2 linked regions of the Schizosaccharomyces pombe genome follow. The protein of the gene in region 1 binds, or shares a complex with, the protein of each later gene. Each region holds a gene or a part of one and is shown in the gene's direction. Other genes may lie near its edges. The genes, in order: hfl1 and atg8.

What was found.
Region 2: the proteins of hfl1 (region 1) and atg8 are in contact, whole or in part, in a crystal structure (PDB 6AAF), measured with the Schizosaccharomyces pombe proteins. Residues at the interface, in NP_593211.1 of Schizosaccharomyces pombe: Leu386 (codon at 3,732), Gln387 (codon at 3,735), Phe388 (codon at 3,738), Glu389 (codon at 3,741), Ile390 (codon at 3,744), Asp391 (codon at 3,747), Glu393 (codon at 3,753), Met394 (codon at 3,756), Glu395 (codon at 3,759), Leu397 (codon at 3,765), Tyr398 (codon at 3,768), Gln400 (codon at 3,774), Ala401 (codon at 3,777), Lys402 (codon at 3,780), Met404 (codon at 3,786), Arg405 (codon at 3,789), Tyr406 (codon at 3,792), Gly407 (codon at 3,795); in NP_596531.1 of Schizosaccharomyces pombe: Phe5 (codon at 2,257), Phe9 (codon at 2,269), Lys13 (codon at 2,362), Glu17 (codon at 2,374), Arg20 (codon at 2,383), Ile21 (codon at 2,386), Tyr25 (codon at 2,398), Arg28 (codon at 2,407), Val31 (codon at 2,582), Ile32 (codon at 2,585), Lys46 (codon at 2,627), Lys48 (codon at 2,633), Tyr49 (codon at 2,636), Leu50 (codon at 2,639), Val51 (codon at 2,642), Pro52 (codon at 2,645), Asp54 (codon at 2,651), Leu55 (codon at 2,654), Gly58 (codon at 2,663), Gln59 (codon at 2,666), Tyr62 (codon at 2,675), Val63 (codon at 2,678), Lys66 (codon at 2,687), Arg67 (codon at 2,690), Thr87 (codon at 2,750), Phe104 (codon at 2,801).

Annotation. Positions count from the first base shown.
Region 1 is NC_003424.3:1,106,254-1,111,205, forward strand, and holds hfl1 (transporter Hfl1), read left to right. Parts: upstream 1-2,284; 5' UTR 2,285-2,313; coding exon 2,314-2,450; exon of another isoform or gene 2,451-2,498; intron 2,499-2,505; coding exon 2,506-2,593; intron 2,594-2,801; coding exon 2,802-3,857; 3' UTR 3,858-3,863; coding exon of another isoform or gene 3,864-4,040; 3' UTR 4,041-4,433; downstream 4,434-4,952. Other genes in the region: Lsd1/2 complex PHD finger domain-containing protein Phf2, read left to right, coding at 1-276; nth1 (DNA endonuclease III), read right to left, coding at 520-1,587; AP-3 adaptor complex subunit Aps3, read right to left, coding at 3,864-4,040, 4,503-4,556, 4,599-4,865. UniProt on the Schizosaccharomyces pombe protein: Vacuole membrane protein that recruits ATG8 to facilitate the degradation of vacuolar integral membrane proteins during early-stationary vacuole turnover (EVT) when cells enter stationary phase.
Region 2 is NC_003423.3:3,683,616-3,687,509, reverse strand, and holds atg8 (autophagy-associated protein Atg8), read left to right. Parts: upstream 1-2,139; 5' UTR 2,140-2,244; coding exon 2,245-2,278; exon of another isoform or gene 2,279-2,359; coding exon 2,360-2,415; exon of another isoform or gene 2,416-2,581; coding exon 2,582-2,857; 3' UTR 2,858-3,229; downstream 3,230-3,894. Other genes in the region: SPOM_SPBP8B7.26 (uncharacterized protein), read right to left, coding at 1-247, 302-386; cyclophilin family peptidyl-prolyl cis-trans isomerase Cyp4, read right to left, coding at 911-1,053, 1,147-1,609; rnf10 (ubiquitin-protein ligase E3), read right to left, coding at 3,428-3,894. UniProt on the Schizosaccharomyces pombe protein: Ubiquitin-like modifier involved in autophagosome formation. With atg4, mediates the delivery of the autophagosomes to the vacuole via the microtubule cytoskeleton.

The DNA of each region.
Region 1 (4,952 bases):
AAATACTCGAATAGAAAAATTAAAAATTCGAACATAACTCGAAGCTTAAACAGACTGGTCCGTAAAAACCGTGTTTTACGTGATGCGAGGGGTAGCAGCTATGAACTGAACAGAACGTTTGATGCCGATCGACCATCAGTGCGCCCTGACATATCTATAACCGGCCCCATTCCTATCGATTGGATGCTGTATACGCCTCACACAGAGGATTTAACCGAAAACTTTTGTACTTATTATATGTTCGACGAAACTCCAATTGTTCTTAGTAGTATTTAACGAGTATCTTACATTCTGCATTGTTTGTTGAAGGGTATAACAACATTAATGATTTCAATTTATTCCAAGATTTAAAAAAATTATTAAAAAGTAAAGGTAGAGGATATTATAACTATACAGTCAGTAGCAAAAGGTTCTTGAATATGTTTAAAGACGGAGTTGTAAAGAATAAATAATTTTGAGTAATTCATGTAAATAAATAACAGATTTATGTTGTCCAAAATTTACGGTCCTAAAAATAAATTAAACCAGATCTTCAATATCTTGTAAACTTTGTTGGGAGAAATACTGGGATGATTTTTTTGCAACTCGCTTTGACCTGCGCAGTGACCTAGTTTCTTTTGTAGTTGAATGGAATGCGACAGGTGGCTTCTGATCTACATCAATATCAGCGGCTGGTTCTTTTTTCAAAGGTTCATTCATGTGTGATATACTATCAACAGGGTCCAAGTCCTCAAGTTTTATAAGTGATTTATCTTCGATGCTTTGGTAATACAAATCATCTGTAGGAAGGGAGAGTGGAGATAGAGGAGGTGACTCAGAAGCAGGTCTTTTTTTGACTCTTTTAATCGTTTTGACTTTTCTCTTAGTTATTGTGATGCCACTTTTTTCTTTAAAGGCGCTAGGACACAAGCCCTTAGAAGATAAAGTACACATATCACAGCGCCTTCCTCTTGGTAAACAGATTGTTTGCCCAAAACCGACAAGTGTATGGTTCAGCTCAAACCATAATTCCTTAGGCAGCCAGCTTTGCAAAGCAGCTCTAGTCTGTTCTTCAGTTTTCGTATTACACCAATGAAGAAGATTACATATACGATGTACGTGAACATCTACTCCAATTCCAACAGTTTTATTCCATGCAATACTCATACATAGATATCCCATTTTAGGCCCCACACCTGGGAGAGTCATTAGGTCTTCTACGGTGTCCGGAATATCTCCTTGGAACTTTTCTGATAAAATACGTGCCATTTGTTTCAAATAAATGGTTTTTCGGTTATGAAAACCAACTTTCTCGATTAGTTTATTTAGAGAAACTTCATCAATATTTTGGATATCTTCTAAACAAAGTCCTCCAGCTAATTTTTCTTTTAAGTTTCGCATGGTAGGACCCAGTACTATATCTTTTGTTTGGCTAGAAAGCATCAATGCCACCAGTGTTTGAAATCGAAATTTTTTTGGATCATTACGTTCTCCTAATGTATGACAACCCTGAACGTCTACAGGCGCTACGACCTTGGCTTTCATTTTACAAATTTCATCGTAAACCTCCCTCCAGTTCTCAGGAGGAGTTCCGTAGTCTTTACTCATTGCTTAACAAATACAAATTTGTCTGCAGTCTTGGCTAAAGATTTTATTTTCTTCAACAACTCATTTACTGAACTTTAGCGATATTACATCCAAGAAACAACGCAGGTGAGCGCAAAAATATTAAAATTTATAAGTGATTTGTTTTGAATACAATGCGGTAATAGTCTGACTTGGAGTTTCTCAATTTTATAAAAGAAATAATTTTTTAACTAAGCCATATATATGCCAAGGCGAAATTCTCCTACGCATTAAGAAACAAACACTCATTATATTTTACTGCTTCTTTTTCAAAAAGTCAGCTTAAGAATCATCAGAATGCTATGGGAGACATTACTTTAGGTCCTCCATCATACAGAAGGGAGGAAAGTAGAGTTTAAAAAAAAAACAAAAATTAGATTAATTAAAGATCACGAATTGCTAGTATTATGGAAACAAATGATTTTTACAGCAGTACTACAGCTATAGGGCAAATTATCCTGTAAGACAGTATTATTAATTTACTTTTGCTATAAAACAATATCCATACTAAAGAGGTAAATCAATATTAGCTTCGATGAACTCTTCCACATCACAAAGTTTCGGTACTTTATCTATAGCTTATGCGTACAAACACCGTAAAGCCCGTAGTAGGTAGTATCTGTTTGGAATTGGAGAAGGCCCCCTTATAGCTTGTGGTAGCCACCTTGCCTGCATTTTTGTCCCTTCATCACGATCAGCTCTAATTTCATGGACAACGAAATAGTCGCATTATGCGGCTTCTTCGTAGCCATTGCTTTAGTGCTATCATGTATTTCTATCATTACTCATTTGAAAAATTACAAAAAACCAGTCTTACAGCGTTCTGTGGTGCGAATTTTGATGATGTTCGTAAAATTGAAATTCTTTGACTGATATAGAAATGTACTAATGCTTTGCTAGGATTGTAATTTACTCTTCTGTATCGTTTTTATCGGTATACAATGAAAAAATTGGAAGTATTTTCGAACCGTTTCGTGAAATTTACGAGGTAGGTTTTTCTCATTTAGCCGTTGCCATTGAATGAAGTACCTTCCTTGGCAATCAATATATTGCAGATTTGTTTTAAAATGCTTGAAAAGGGGTTGACTGAAAGAGTGGTTTGGCTGTTATGAGTTGTACTATGTTGGTTTACTAGTTTAGTTAGTTAATGAGGCGTAATTGAGGTTTTAATGGAATAATTTCTAACAATAAATTAGGCATTCGCTTTGTATTGCTTTTTCTGTTTATTAATTGATTATCTTGGCGGAGAACGGGCTGCAGTTATTAGTTTGCATGGACATCTGCCTCGTCCTAGGTTATGGCCCTTGAATTATTTGCAAGATGATATTGACCTAAGTGATCCTTACACCTTCCTTTCTATAAAACGTGGGATTTTACAATACACTTGGCTTAAACCATTTCTGGTGATTGCCGTGCTGTTAACAAAAGTCACCGGAGTCTACGACAGAGAAGATCAACCTGTTTATGCTTCTGCAGACCTTTGGATAGGTCTTGTTTATAACATTTCAATTACGCTTTCTTTATATTCACTAACAACTTTTTGGGTTTGCTTGCATGAAGAGCTCGCTCCTTTTCGCCCTTTCCCAAAATTCCTTTCCGTTAAAGCTATTATATTTGCCTCTTACTGGCAGCAAACCGTTCTTTCCATTACAAACTGGCTGGGACTTTTAAATGGAACAGGCTGGATTTACTCCTTACTAAATCAGAACGTTCTCATGTGTTTAGAAATGCCCTTTTTTGCCCTCTCACATTGGTACGCTTTTCGAATCGAGGATTACGATACACCCACATGGCTGTCTTGTGCAAGACTACCGCTCCTTAAAGCCTTTAAAGACGTAATCGGGTTGAAAGACGTCTGGTGCGATAGTTTGCAAACTCTACATGGAGATCGTTATGTATATCAAAATTTTGAGCCTGGGGAGAACTTAATACCTTCAAGAAACGATGGAAGGATTAATAGAACAAGTCATGGTCTTCGGTACAGTCAGGGAGGTCAATCGAAATACTGGATTTCTCGATATGATCAATCTCGAGTGCGTCTCATTAACAATAGTCAAAACTCTCCACAATCAAATAAGTCCTACTTTTCTATCCCAGGGATGTCAACTTCACATTTCGAAAATGGGCTCCAATTTGAAATAGACGATGAAATGGAACCATTATACAATCAAGCGAAACAGATGCGTTATGGTGATTATAATTATCCAGTTCTTCTAGTGAACAATACTCATGCATCTTCTTCATATACATAAAAGTCACTAGAACCTAGTAGCAAAAGAACTTAATGTATTGCTGAATGGCATTGCATTGGACCGTTTGGTTTTTGGCATTTGATTCTGAGCTGCCAAAACAATTTCATTCAGATTTGTCTCTAAGACAAGACCACCAGATACTACCTCAGCAAGAATAGCATGTATTTCTTGGAATTTAAAAACCTATATTGTGTTAGATCTTTCTAATTCGCTTTCAAACAGATGGCTTTCAACTCTTCTAATTATTTCTTCCTTCAATATCCTTTTTTTTTGGCGTATACACTTGTATTTGGATAATTATTACTAACACCTCCTCTTTTTTTTCATTGGAGATTGCGAATCATCGACAATGAGACTCTACTTCCAGTTCTATGCATAATTTCTTTCTTGAAGGCGATGAGAAGTAAAGGAATTAGGAATTAAACTCTTGTAGTTCCTAAGTTCAATAAATGATAAAAATAAATGTTATGCTCTTTTGATAATCGAATATTGGACAAACATTAATGTTTCTTGTAAGGCCAAATTTCCAAACATTCGAAACCAAATAAGAAAAAAACAAATTAAATAAAAAAAAACGGAATCAATGGTTTCAAACATATAGCAGTAGGATAATGGGAAGATAAACGAGTAGTGAAATGTACTTACCAAATCAAGCTCGCAAACATTATTAAAGCATCGATCTAATGCTTCAACAAATACCTTTAATAGTTAGAAATTGGAAAGTAACTAATTTCAACTTACTTGAATGAGATCGAGAATTCCTAGTTCACTTTCACCTTCATCTACTACAAAAACGAAGTAGAGAGTAGCGTACTGGCGATAAATTATTCTATTTTTACCTGCAATTAAATTACTTTCCAAAAAATTACAAGCGGTTGGGGGCCTAGTGGATACAGCTGCATATATATCTCCTATTAACTTTTGTTGAATGGATTCATCAATTGGAGTGTAAAACTTTGTGAGACGAGGTTTCCCTTTATTGTTAAATATAAAAACAGCGTAAATCATGACAATAGAAAGGGAAAGCTGGCAGAACCCAAATATGCAGTGCTTGGTAAACGGCAAGCTGAAGTTTAAGTTGAATATACGTTAATA
Region 2 (3,894 bases), on another chromosome or scaffold:
TCCTTGGGGGGCTGTGAAGGTTGGGAATAAGAAGGCTGCGAATAAGAGGGTTTCGAATAATCTTGATTTCCTACAGCCGGGCTAGCCGTTCTAGGTGTACTTCCAGTACTACTACCACCGGCACGCAACTGTGAAGCATGTTTTGGAGGAGGAGGCAATTTTGTAACATCGACATATTTTATTGATAAACGAGGCCCGGTTCCATGAACGGATCTAATATCATACATAGCATCTTCGCCATGTTCACCTATAAATCCCATTTTGTTAGTAATGTCTCAAAAAGCAAAGGAAATATGCTTACCTGGTAATTTCGATGTAATCTTATTCTGGAAGCGGTTCGCAGAATCCGACATCGAATGCAGTGATTTTTTTGTTGAGTCAAACATTACGATTAGTTTGAAATTGATTTCTCACAATTGACGCAAAAACCGATTTTACCCAAATGTTTGCGGTGGACAGCTTCCGACTCTCGAAATTCCTTAAGTCCGCTTTTCTAAGAGCCCATAGGGTAAACAACTACACAACGTGCTAGTAATATCAGCCAGCTGATAGGAAAAAATAATGTCTTTGAGTTCTTTTTGATAAAACATAACAAAATAGTAAGCAGCTAATAAGCTTCGCGTTTGTTGTCAATACTTACTATCAGAATTGCAGCATTGCTATTACGCTTGCTAAATTGGATAATATACGTAGAGTTCTATATTCATTCAATTGAAAACTTGTTAAAATCGCATTCTTTATGCGTATATTAGTTATACAACTATGGCTGTCAGAAAATGCAAACAAACTACCACAAGAAGTGATCCTTCCAATGATAAACGTTTATGTTAACAGAATGTAAAATCATTGCTTTTCAAGTAAATCTTATAAACACTAGATGTTGATGACTTTCATAAATAGAAAGTAGGGATTACAATTCATCTGTTCCGTCATCTTCAACATTTTCTTGAGACAACTGCCCAGATTTGATAATTTTTACATCTTCAAGAGGCTTATCACGGTTGTCAGTCTCAGCTTTGGAAATTTTCTTGACAATATCGTAACCAGAAAGGACTGATAAAATTAGTATTAGCAAACAAAAAAAAGGAAAAAGAAAACAAATAGTCACTTTTATAAAACATATACAACTACAATATGAATTCTTACCTTCACCAAAAACAACATGGTGTCCATCTAACCAAGGTGTTTTAACTGTAGTAATGAAAAACTGAGATCCATTGGAATCGGGTCCAGCGTTAGCCATGCTAAGCAAACCGGGACGTTGGTGAGAAAGCTTAAAGTTTTCATCAGGAAAACGGCTGCCATAAATTGATTTTCCACCAGTACCATCACCCTTCGTAATATCACCACCTTGAATCATGAAATTGGGAATAACGCGATGGAAAATAGATCCTTCATATCCAAATCCCTTTTCTCCGGTGGCTAATGCGCGGAAATTTTCGGCTGTTTTGGGAACAGTTTTACCAAACAATCCAATGGTAACTCTTCCAAGGAACTCATCACCTTGTTGCAAGTCGAAATACACTGTGTCTGTAACTTTGGGGCCACGGTTGGCAGAGATAAGCCCAAAGAAAAGAGTAAAAAGTAAAGAGAAATAGAACAACTTCATTTTTGTTTTCACAAACTAAAAGCTTCGTTGTGTGGTAAAGGATAAATAAATAGTTATGGTGGGGTTTAATAGCAAGACTCGCTAGATTTTGGTTGCTGTAGCAACTTTTAGCACAATGTTAAGCAAATAATTCAAGAAGCGCTTATTTGTTTACATCAAACACTACTATTTTTCTAATGGTTTGATTATTTAATGAAAGATAGAAATAGTAATTATTTGCAAAATTCTATTTCCTAACCTTTTTTGGAAGGTATTTACGTGTTAAGCGTGCTATTATTTATTTACACAACGTCTTTATTTCCATTCTTGCTTTTCTTCCTAAAAGAGTTGTGACTTTTGTTGTACCAAGGATTGAGTATATACCAATTATGGCTATCATACTATAAAGAAGTAGTAAAAATTCCTTTTGATTGTGTACTGCTTAAGATTCGTAAAGTATTTATTTATTACGAAATAAGGTAACTTATCATAGTATCATAAGATTGCTTCATATCTCTGTATACGTTACCCAAGGGTACGCTTATTTATCCAAGACCGTATACCACATAACTCACGCACCGTTTACAAAGAACACCGAATTTTGAAGCAATTGAAGAGAGGAGTTACTACTTCAAGCAAGAAGTTTGAGAGTTCTCATGCGTTCTCAATTCAAGGACGACTTTTCTTTTGGTATGTGTCAAAAACTTATAGAAGTTGTTTTTTGGACAGCATTGTAGAATACCTGGAACTAGTAGGCTAATTAATAATCAGAGAAACGAAAAACAGAGTCTCAAAGAATCCGGGAAAAATATCCCGATCGAATACCTGTAAGTAGAGTCTGGTGGTCAAAGAGAACAGGTTTCAGAGCAAAATAGTGGTGAATTGAACAACACCCATTGTTTTTGTCATCAAAAGTGAATCCATTGTTACAAGTCTGACCTTTTTCTTTCAAAAATACAAATTACGTTTTAAACTTAACTGCTAACTTAACAGGTTATTTGCGAGAAAGTTGATAAATCTGATATTGCTGCAATAGATAAAAAGAAATATCTCGTTCCATCTGACCTTACAGTTGGTCAATTTGTATATGTTATTCGCAAACGGATAAAACTTTCTCCTGAGAAGGCCATCTTTATTTTCATTGATGAAATCTTGCCCCCGACAGCGGCCTTGATGTCAACGATATACGAAGAGCATAAAAGTGAGGACGGCTTTTTGTATATCACGTATTCAGGAGAAAATACATTTGGAACAGTGTTTCCTTTTTAGATCAACAATTTGCCTGTTTTAAGATGGCCCCGCCTTCTTTTAATTGTGATCAGCAAAATTGTTTGTGGACAATGGTTGAATGATTCTTTATGTTTTTTTTACTCTGCATTTCTAGCTTTTTAGCTTTCAAGTTTCTTTGCTTTTGCATTATGATTATTTTACGCGCGTCTTATACATATCATTCTCAGGTTAGCCACCACGATTTTAAGGATGTTTCAGATTTGTCTTACAATAGATGTGATGAACGCTTATGACTAGTTTGCTTTGACAACAAAGTTATTTTACCTTGTTAATTAATAAAAACCATCAATTAAAAAAATTGATTTTGATTTTCTAATAATATTAAAATGTTGATAAATAATAAGTAGATATATATCATCAGCTGATTCTATCCTTTTTTACATTAACTGGTTGTCATAATAGCGAATACTATTCACATGCCCCAAAAAATTGGTCAATCGTAAACTTTCATAATTCAAGCAACAAGTGTTATAACTATATTTCAAAATAAAGCCCACTCCTGCATTTCAAAAATTTCAGTAGCATTTCATCACTGAGAATGCTCCATCTTTATCGATGGGCGGCACCTGTTGATAATAAAACTAATTTCTTCTTTTTTTTGTTTTTTGAGTTTTTGGAAGGTGCAGATAATTGAGCAACTTTGTCCCAGTCAACTTTCCAACCATCAAGATCGTCTTGATCATCGGTGTCATTTTGAATATTGGCAAGAGCTCTTGTTCCCCAAACAGTCTTTGCAGTAGATAAGGTAGACTCATCTGTATTAACCTCATCGGTAGATTCAAATTGATGATGACTTCCCAATGTGGGGAATGCTTCAGCAGGGTCCTCATGCACTACGGTTTTTGGCACAGGTCTCTGCATATTTAACTCGGAGTATATCTGTTCCTCTGTATCACGTTCAGCCCGTTGTCGATACCTTTCTTCTCTCATTTCTTGAGCTTTACGTTGCTTGCGTCGTTTACTGATTTCTGATTTGAAGGTTAACAAGACTTCTTTGGGAATAATCTTAGACCAAT